Linked DNA regions of Rattus norvegicus. The protein of the gene in region 1 interacts with the protein of each later gene in a pairwise test. Links are inferred from orthologs where the notes say so. Each region holds a gene or a part of one and is shown in the gene's direction. Other genes may lie near its edges.

Region 1 (3,816 bases):
GAGCACCCCTCTCTGCCCACTCCTGTGACACAGAGAAAGGTCTGTTCCACGGAGCTCGTGTGTAGAGGTCAGGCCCACACAGAGACTCTTCCTGTTTTGAATATGAACCAATTTGGAGACTTAACAGTACACTAAATCTTTTCAGGACTCCGTCTTGACTAGTCCTTGCCTGGATAATTGGAGCAGGGATGTACACGGAGTTGGGGTCGGGGCATCTACTCGTTCTGTCTGGCATACCTTCCGTTCTCTGGCAGTGTGTCTACACGCCTATTTGAGAAGGAAAAGGAGAGATAGGTAGAGAGTAGGGAACCAATTAGGCAGCCAAAGGGAGGAAAAAGGATATCTATCAATATTTGGAGTTACCCTGATAAGTTTTATTTTTAAATTTTTCTAAACAACAGGGCTAGGGACTAGGGAAATAACTCAGTCAGTAATAGTGAAGTCTATGAAAGGAAAAAGTAACCAAGGTGAACTCCTAGCACCCATGTAGAAAACCAGAAATGTTGGTATGCGCTTCTAATCCTGACACTAGAGAGGAGGACACAGAGGTACCCCTGGGGCTCACTGGCCACACAGCTTTGCTGAACTGATGAACCCCACGTTCAGTGAGAGTCCTTGCCTAAAAAAATCCATGTCAAAGATTCTTGGGAAATGATATCTGGGTTTACCCCCTAGCTTCCACAAACATGTGCATACATGTGCACATGTGCTTATACATGCATGTACCTGCACATATGAGAACACAAGTATATGTACTGTGTGTCAGGATGCTCCCTTGCTTGGTTCTTTCAAGTATCTCAAATAAGCAGGTACAATTATTAGATCACAGATGGTAACTAATGTTTTATCTGCATGTGACTCATCTGATCAGAAGCTATTTATGAATAGATTACATGTATTTCATCTACATGAAAAAATTATAAGTCACTGGTTTTTATTACAGATACCTGATAACACTTGGTGGGGAGGGGCAGGTTGCCAGCAGAAGTGGCAGGACCCATAGGCCTGTTCAGAGTTAGGATTATTTTTATTCATTTATTTGTCCATCCCCTTAATAACAGATCTTTGAAACCATGCATTTTGTACCAGCTCTCTTAATTTGCCGATGTTGTTGGCAAGAAATATAGCCTCATAGGGCCACCAAGACCCAAATCCTGCTACTAAGCAAAGTGTAGTAATAGCATAAAAGAAGGTGAGTTTTTGATCAAGGAGTAAAAAAGGCTCTCAACATAAGGCAGAATTATCATGAGGTAGGATTTTCAGGAAGACTCAAGGTTGTTTAGCAGCAGAGGCCAATGGGAAGAGACAATTGGAGGTAAGGAACAAAACGCAGGGAAACTCCTAGAAGAACAGCAGGTCCCAATGGACAGGGTCCTGAGGCTGGAGCCCCAGATCAGCGACATCCACTGAGAACCTGATAGAACCTTCCTCTTGAGGGCCTGCCTGCCTTCCACATGTTGAATCACTGTCTGGGCGTGAGACCCAGCAACCAACAGTTGACTCTGATACATCCAGAGGTTGGGGTATTGGCCATATAGTGGGAGGTGAGACCAGGGAGAAGAGAAATGAACAAGTGAAGTGAGCAGGGGAGATTTTATGAAGTACTTTTCATCTCAAAAATGAAGTGGAAAATGACAGCCTGAGAAACGTGACACTGTTCACTAGATAATCACACAGGCAAGGGAGAAGACTAGGGTCATGTTACTCATTGACAGAAACAGGCTTCTGACTGACTCCTAGACAAGGGCACATGGGTCCTGTCTGTCACCCCTGTCCCTGAATTCATGACCTTTATGGAGGTTATTATTCAAGAACCTTTGCAGCCAGTGGAAGGGAAGGCAGGGGCACTGTCAGGTGTCTCCTAGTAGAGTGAAGAGCTGTGAGAATCCCCTGCTAGAGGAAGGCTGCTTCGACAGCCTTTAAGATGCTCAGCAGTTGGTGGCCCTGCGTTCAGCATTCTCAAAGACTTGTTTGTGGTGATGCCGACCCATTGCTAAATTCACCTTCAAAAAGAATTGCCGTTCGTTAAATAACATTAAATGCTATTTTTTTCTTTCAGAGCCAAAGACTCCGTCAAACACTTTCATGTTGAATACACTGGGTACTCCTTTAAGTTTGGCTTTAATGAATATTCATCTCTAAAGGATTTCGTCAAGCATTTTGCAAATCAACCTTTGATTGGAAGCGAGACAGGTAAGCTGTCTTAATACCTGGTTTATTAAGATGGTTTACTGATTCATAGTTCTGCATGAGAATTTGCTTGGAATCTGGTGACTTCTGATGGGGCTAAGAACATTGCGTAGCGAGAGACAGGGGAGGAATACATCAAAGATGAAGTCCTTGCTATAGCCACAAGCTCACTGGGAATTTGTGATCCTCTTAACTCAGCCTCACAAGTGCTGAATTATGGGATATGGGGCATTAAAAGCTCATCCAGGCAGGCGGAGCTTTATGTGTTTGAGGTCAGTCTGATCCACATAGTTCCATGGACAGTCAGGTAAATACAGTGAGCCCTTATATAAATAAATACATACATGAATACATAAATAAATGCATAAATACATAAACAAATAAATGATACAGAAAAACAATTTCTTTAGAATATTCTATTTTATAATACATAGAGCAAAGAAAAGAAAACACGAAGTAATTCTTCATCATTTCAGACATGGAAACTGGCAGGAAACTGCTTGTGGCATGAAAGTGATAGGTTTAGAAACGTGTGTGTGAGCAAATACAGAGGCGAATGCCAGCAGCAAACCACTGAGCTGAGAATAGGTCCCCCGTTGAAGGAATCAGAGAAAGAACTGGAAGAGCTTGAAGGGGCTCGAGACCCCAAAAGTACAACAATGTCAAGCAACCAGAGCTTCCAGGGACTAAGCCACTACCTAAAGACTATATATGGACTGACCCTGGACTCTGACCCCATAGGTAGCAATGAATATCCTAGTAAGAGCACCAGTGCAAGGGGAAGCCCTGGGTCCTGCTAAGACTGAACCCCCAGTGAACTAGACTATGGGGGGAGGGCGGCAATGGGGGGAGGGTTGGGAGGGGAACACCCATAAGGAAGGGGAGGGGGGAGGGGGATTTTGCCCGGAAACCGGGAAAGGGAATAACACTTGAAATGTATATAAGAAATACTCAAGTTAATAAAAAAAAATAAAAAAAAAAATATCCAATAAAAAAAAAAAAGAAACGTGTGTGTGAGTGTGTGTGTGTGTGTGTGTGTGTGTGTGTGTGTGTGTGTGTGTGTGTGTGCAGCTGAGACCCAGAGAACTTAATCTGGAGCACTTTCAAAAATAAACTTCACCAGAAATGCCCACAGCAACCAAGTGCTCATATTGAAAATGGAAAACATTTTTATGAGCAATCATAGCCCCTAACTGTCATATTAGTTTATTACCAAGTTTTAGGCCTGTAGCTTGGTATGCATTCAAAATGTCTCATTTCAGAAGTTAGTCAAAGTGGAAGATTAATAATAATAATAATAACATATATATATCAAACCCCACAGTTTGTTGGCCAGCGTCCCACTGGTCTAACCTCTGTTGATACTTGAGCTAAATGACCACACAGGGGGGAAGTTTATTTTGTCTGACGGCACCCGGGTTTTAGGCCATGACCCTTTACCCCTTGTCATCATTGATGGGAGTACACAGCAGTGAGATCCACTCAGCTCATGACCAGGAAGCAAGGAAGATGGAGGTGGGGTGGGGACCTAGTCCCATTTTGATGTCCCCTTCAAGGTCACACCGATTGGTCTAACCAAAGGTTAGATCAATGTCCTAACCTTTTCACATGGTCCTACCTTCTTAT
Region 2 (4,508 bases), on another chromosome or scaffold:
TAAGGGTGTAAGAGCCCTTGGGTCAGAAATCAGGAGGCCTGGGTTCTAGCTCCTCTTCAATCAGGGGTGTGTTACTTAAATGTCCGGGCCTCCAATTCCACATCTGAAAATTAGCTACAGTTCCGAGAGGGAGGGGGAGGAGGAAGGGAGTAGGAGGGACAGGAGAGAGAGAGAGAGAGAGAGAGAGAGAGAGAGAGAGAGAGAGAGATTACATTAGCAGTCACTACAAACCGCCCTTTCCTTTGTGCTTTTTTGGGAAATCAGAAACAGGAGTATCCTAAGTCAGATGGTACATGGAGGATGTTCTTAACGCCTATACAGTTCCCATCATTCAACCCTTTTTGAAACCCTAGAGGTGAAAGATTTCTCGGACACTTTCTTCACTCTTGAAGCTCAAAGAGTTCTCCACAGCGTCATAATGGCAACCCCAAATAATGCGCAGACTCTTCAAACTGACACAAAAGCCAGGAGAGCTGCCAGTAGTGTGAGGAACCTGTTGGGGCTGCTGAAAAAAGCTATGAGGAGACCCAGTCACTAGTTCTGATTACTCATCCAGGAGACAGCCGGGCACCTCAGCCAGGCACCTCTTTATTACTACTGTTGTTTCAGAACCCCGTACATGTATACAATTGTTTTCTGATCAAACTCACCTGTCACTTCCAACTACAGAACCACCCCACCCCTTCTCCCAATTTCATATACTGTTTAAAAACAAAGTCTCACTATGTAGCTCCGGCTGTTCTGGAACTCACTATGTAGCCCAGGCTGCCCTGGAACTCCGTATACCTGCCTCTGCCTCCCGAGTGCCGGGATTAAAGGCAGACACCACCACCGCTCGGCAACTTTTTTTTTTAAGATTTATTTATATGAGTACACTGTAGCTGTCTTCAGACACACCAGAAGAGGGCATCAGATCCCATTACAGATGGTTGTGAGCCACCACGTGGTTGCTGGGAATTGAACTCAGGACCTCTGGGAGAGCAGTCAGTCCTCTTAACCGCTGAGCCATCTCTCCAGCCCCGGCAACTTTTTTTTTAAACCCTGAATCCACTTAGCGCTAACGGTATATGCTCCAGTGTAGGACCATCCATTGGAGCAAAAGGACAGAGTATCAGAGACCACACCCCTGAAGAAAACTGACCCTCCCTCATCCTGTAGCCAATAGCAACCAATAACTCTTCGGCTGATCCTGGGGCTACGGAAGCTCCTCCTCTGTTCTGATCCATTCTGCCTGTTATTTCCATTTCCTAAGGGACGCGGCAGTTGTAGCTGTTAGGTTTTTTAAAGCAAGGCTATTTTGATCATCCGCGTATCCTCAGAATCATCTACTGTCATTCTGTAAAATTGTTGTCAGTGAATAAACTCGCGGAGGTCAGTGCTTACACACTCGTGCTGCCCAAGGACGCGTCCCGAGTCTGGCACAGAGCAGGCTCTGGGTTCTGGTTAAATGTATCCACAGTGCAGCAGTGCTGGACCTGCGCTCAGGAGCCCAGCCGCGGCGCTCGCAGGGCATAGCCACCAGGTGTCGCCACCACGTCCCCGCGCGGGGCGGAGCGGCCGCTGAGTGGGAGTAGCATGTGGACGTTCGGACGCCGCGCAGCCGCGGGCTTGCTGCCCCGGACGGCCTCCCGGGCCTCCGCCTGGGTCCGGAACCCACGCGGGAGGGAACGGATTGGAACCTGCGGCCGCCGAGGCCTACATGTCACAGCCAACGCCGACGCCATCCGCCACTCTGTGAGTATGCGCGCCGCTGGGCTGCATACCGGAGCGCAGGCCGCGTCCGCCCCTATGCCGGGGACGCGCAGCGCGCACGCGCCGGGCCGCACTGCGTGGACGCGCGCGCGCAGGGCAGAGCACGCGCGGTGTTTGCGCGGGGTTAGATCCTTGGCGGTGAAGATGAGAAAAAACAATTTCTGTAATTAACACAGGATGTGCAGCGAGTACAGCAGGGTGTGTTTATTACTGTATGCACACCGCAGGTGGCAGGCAGAAGCATGGAAGGAACCTGGGCTTCCGCGAACCAGTTGCCTTTTTCGGGGCAATGGGGTTGTGGAGTTTCTCAGAGCACGGCTTTTTGTTGTTTGTCTCACCCTGTATCCCTGGCTAGCCCAGGATTAGCCACGTACCCCAAAGTGGTTTCAATCTTGTGATCCTCCTGCCTCTTCACTAGTGCTGGGATCACCGATGTAGCAGTAGGGCCCAAGACTCCAGCTTTTGGAAAAGGAGGGGACCGCAGTTTCACATTCAGACTGCGCGGCCCTAGAGAGCCCTTGTGACCTTCGGAGACCCTAGCTCTCTGGAGGCAGGGCTTGGTTCTCTGTTCATGGGTGATTAAAGGGTAACACCCACTTTGCGATTTTGGCGGGAGAGTTAAACTGTAGGGAGAGTTAAACTGTAGTCGCCAAGGCCTTAGCACTTCAGATAAGTCTCGGTTCCTATAAGAGGCAAAGAACAGAATCTGTTACTCCATGGCTTAAAAAGATAGCCCAACGAGTAGCAGTGGGGTGAATGAAGGCTTCCCAGAGAGGGTTGTGATAGATGCTAAAGAAGGGGCCTGGGGGGAGCATTCCAGGAAGGGGAGAGCACCTGTCATCTCAGCTAAGGCTACACCACTTTCCCCTGCCTCTCCACTCAATCTCATCAACACACATGCCGTTGCCCAGCGCCTGGCAGTTAAAGACTAAGAGAAATCAACAGGTCACACCCTGCTGACGGGCTCCATCCAGCAGCCAGACAGCTTTTTTCTGGACTTCAACAGAATTCTACCTCTTTGCCATTTTTTTTTCTTTTAGTTAAATTCTGGGCTACTTCAAGGTGTCCTTGTCTCTGGCGAACCACCAAATCTCCTGAACAGCTTGCAACAGCACCACCCCGGGGAAATGTTCTGTCTGGTGCTACCTAATCATGGCCACTTGAGATACAGCCGCCGCAGCTGTCTCAGCCAGTGTCCTATTGCTGTGAATAGGCACCATGATCAAACATTTCACTGGGACTGGCTTACAGTTCAGAAGTTTAATCCATCATCATTGTGGCAGGAAGTGTGGTAGCACACAGGCAGACATGGTGCTGGAGCAGGAGCTGAGAGTGAGACGCTGGGTCTGGCTTGAGCATCTGAGACGTCAAAGCCCGCCCCCGGTGACATACTTCCTCCAGCAAGGCCCCACCTACTCCAATAAGGACACACCTCCTAATAGTCTCACTCCCTGATGAGCAAGCCTGCAGATACCTGAAGGGGCCATTCCTATTCAAACCACCACAACCAAGGACTAAATTTGGCCTTATCTTAATAAATTCAGAGGCTATGTCTCATGACCATCCTATTAGATGGCACAAGCTTAGCAGAAAGACAGGGAGAACCCATAACAAAGCATGAGGGGTAGAGCTGGGGATCAGCCCCTTGGAACTGTACCTCAGATGCTGTAACTGGTTACTCTCGAATACAGGAGGGCCGATCTATGAACCATGTATCGCTGGATCAGAGTAGACTAAGATGTGGTAATTAGTGAGCTTTTTGTTTTGTTTTTTAAAGATTTATTTATTTACTTTTTTTTTAATGAGTGTACACTGTTGCTCTCCTCAGACACACCAGAAGAGGGCATCAGATCCCACTACAGATAGTTGTGAGCCACCGTGTGGTTGCTGGGAATTGAACTCAGGACCTCTGGAAGAGCAGTCAGTGCTCTTAACCGCTGAGCCATCTCTCCAGCCCCTTAACTAGTGTTTTTAACTTTGTCTTTTAGCATTTGAACCTCCACTACCTCGGTCAGATTCTGAACATCAAAAAGCAGAGTGTCTGCGTGGTGCATTTGAGGAACTCGGGGACGTTGGGCAACCCAAGGTGAGATGAAAACACCTTCCACCTCAGGCGTGTCTTCTTCTTCCTCTCGCCTCATATGGAAACTATTTCTCCCTGGGAACAACCTTGAGTGACACCTTTCCCATTGCTAAGCATCCGCCATGTTACTTTAGATGAATGGTGTTACTGTGTGAATATCCCAGGCTTCCTTGAGGTCATTCCTATTGTTTAAGTTCTTTCCCCCAGAGTTTTGTTATTCCCTCCAGAATCCTAGTTGAAGAAGACCATATAGCTATAAAAAAACGCAGCTTCTCTCCAGGCTGCCCAAGGTTTGTCGTCCAAGTTAGAGCAGCCCGCCCAGGTTCCATCTGGTAGGAAGAGTTGGAAGCTTTGAAGGGCTAACACTGGCACTGGCCCCTCACTCTGGTTCCCGTGGGCCAAGCTCAGTTGCATAAGGAAGCTGGCAACGAAAGCTAGCAAGTGTCTTCAGGAAAGGGCAATGGAGTCCCTGTAGGGTCAGCCTTGCCTCCGTTTACACCTTTACTACTTGATTGTCTGTAGAGCCCTCTTCCACATGCAGGGTTGTCCCCAGCCCCAGAGATACCAACCAAAGGCACACAGGGGTGCTGTATCCTCTTTGAAGTCCAAGATGTCTGCGTGACATTCAGTACTCTAAGCTACAGAAATGCCTTTGTGTCTGCCAGTCTCTCTC

Evidence for each region.
Region 2: the proteins of Dapp1 (region 1) and Fxn interact in binary tests that used the Homo sapiens proteins (3 or more experiments, as listed by UniProt). The link is inferred for Rattus norvegicus from reciprocal best matches to the Homo sapiens genes DAPP1 and FXN.

What each region holds. Positions count from the first base shown.
Region 1 is NC_086020.1:229,128,161-229,131,976, reverse strand, and holds part of Dapp1 (dual adapter for phosphotyrosine and 3-phosphotyrosine and 3-phosphoinositide), read left to right. Parts: intron 1-2,059; coding exon 2,060-2,193; intron 2,194-3,816. UniProt on the Homo sapiens protein: May act as a B-cell-associated adapter that regulates B-cell antigen receptor (BCR)-signaling downstream of PI3K.
Region 2 is NC_086019.1:231,321,032-231,325,539, reverse strand, and holds the start of Fxn (frataxin, mitochondrial), read left to right. Parts: upstream 1-1,550; 5' UTR 1,551-1,575; coding exon 1,576-1,734; intron 1,735-3,740; coding exon 3,741-3,838; intron 3,839-4,508.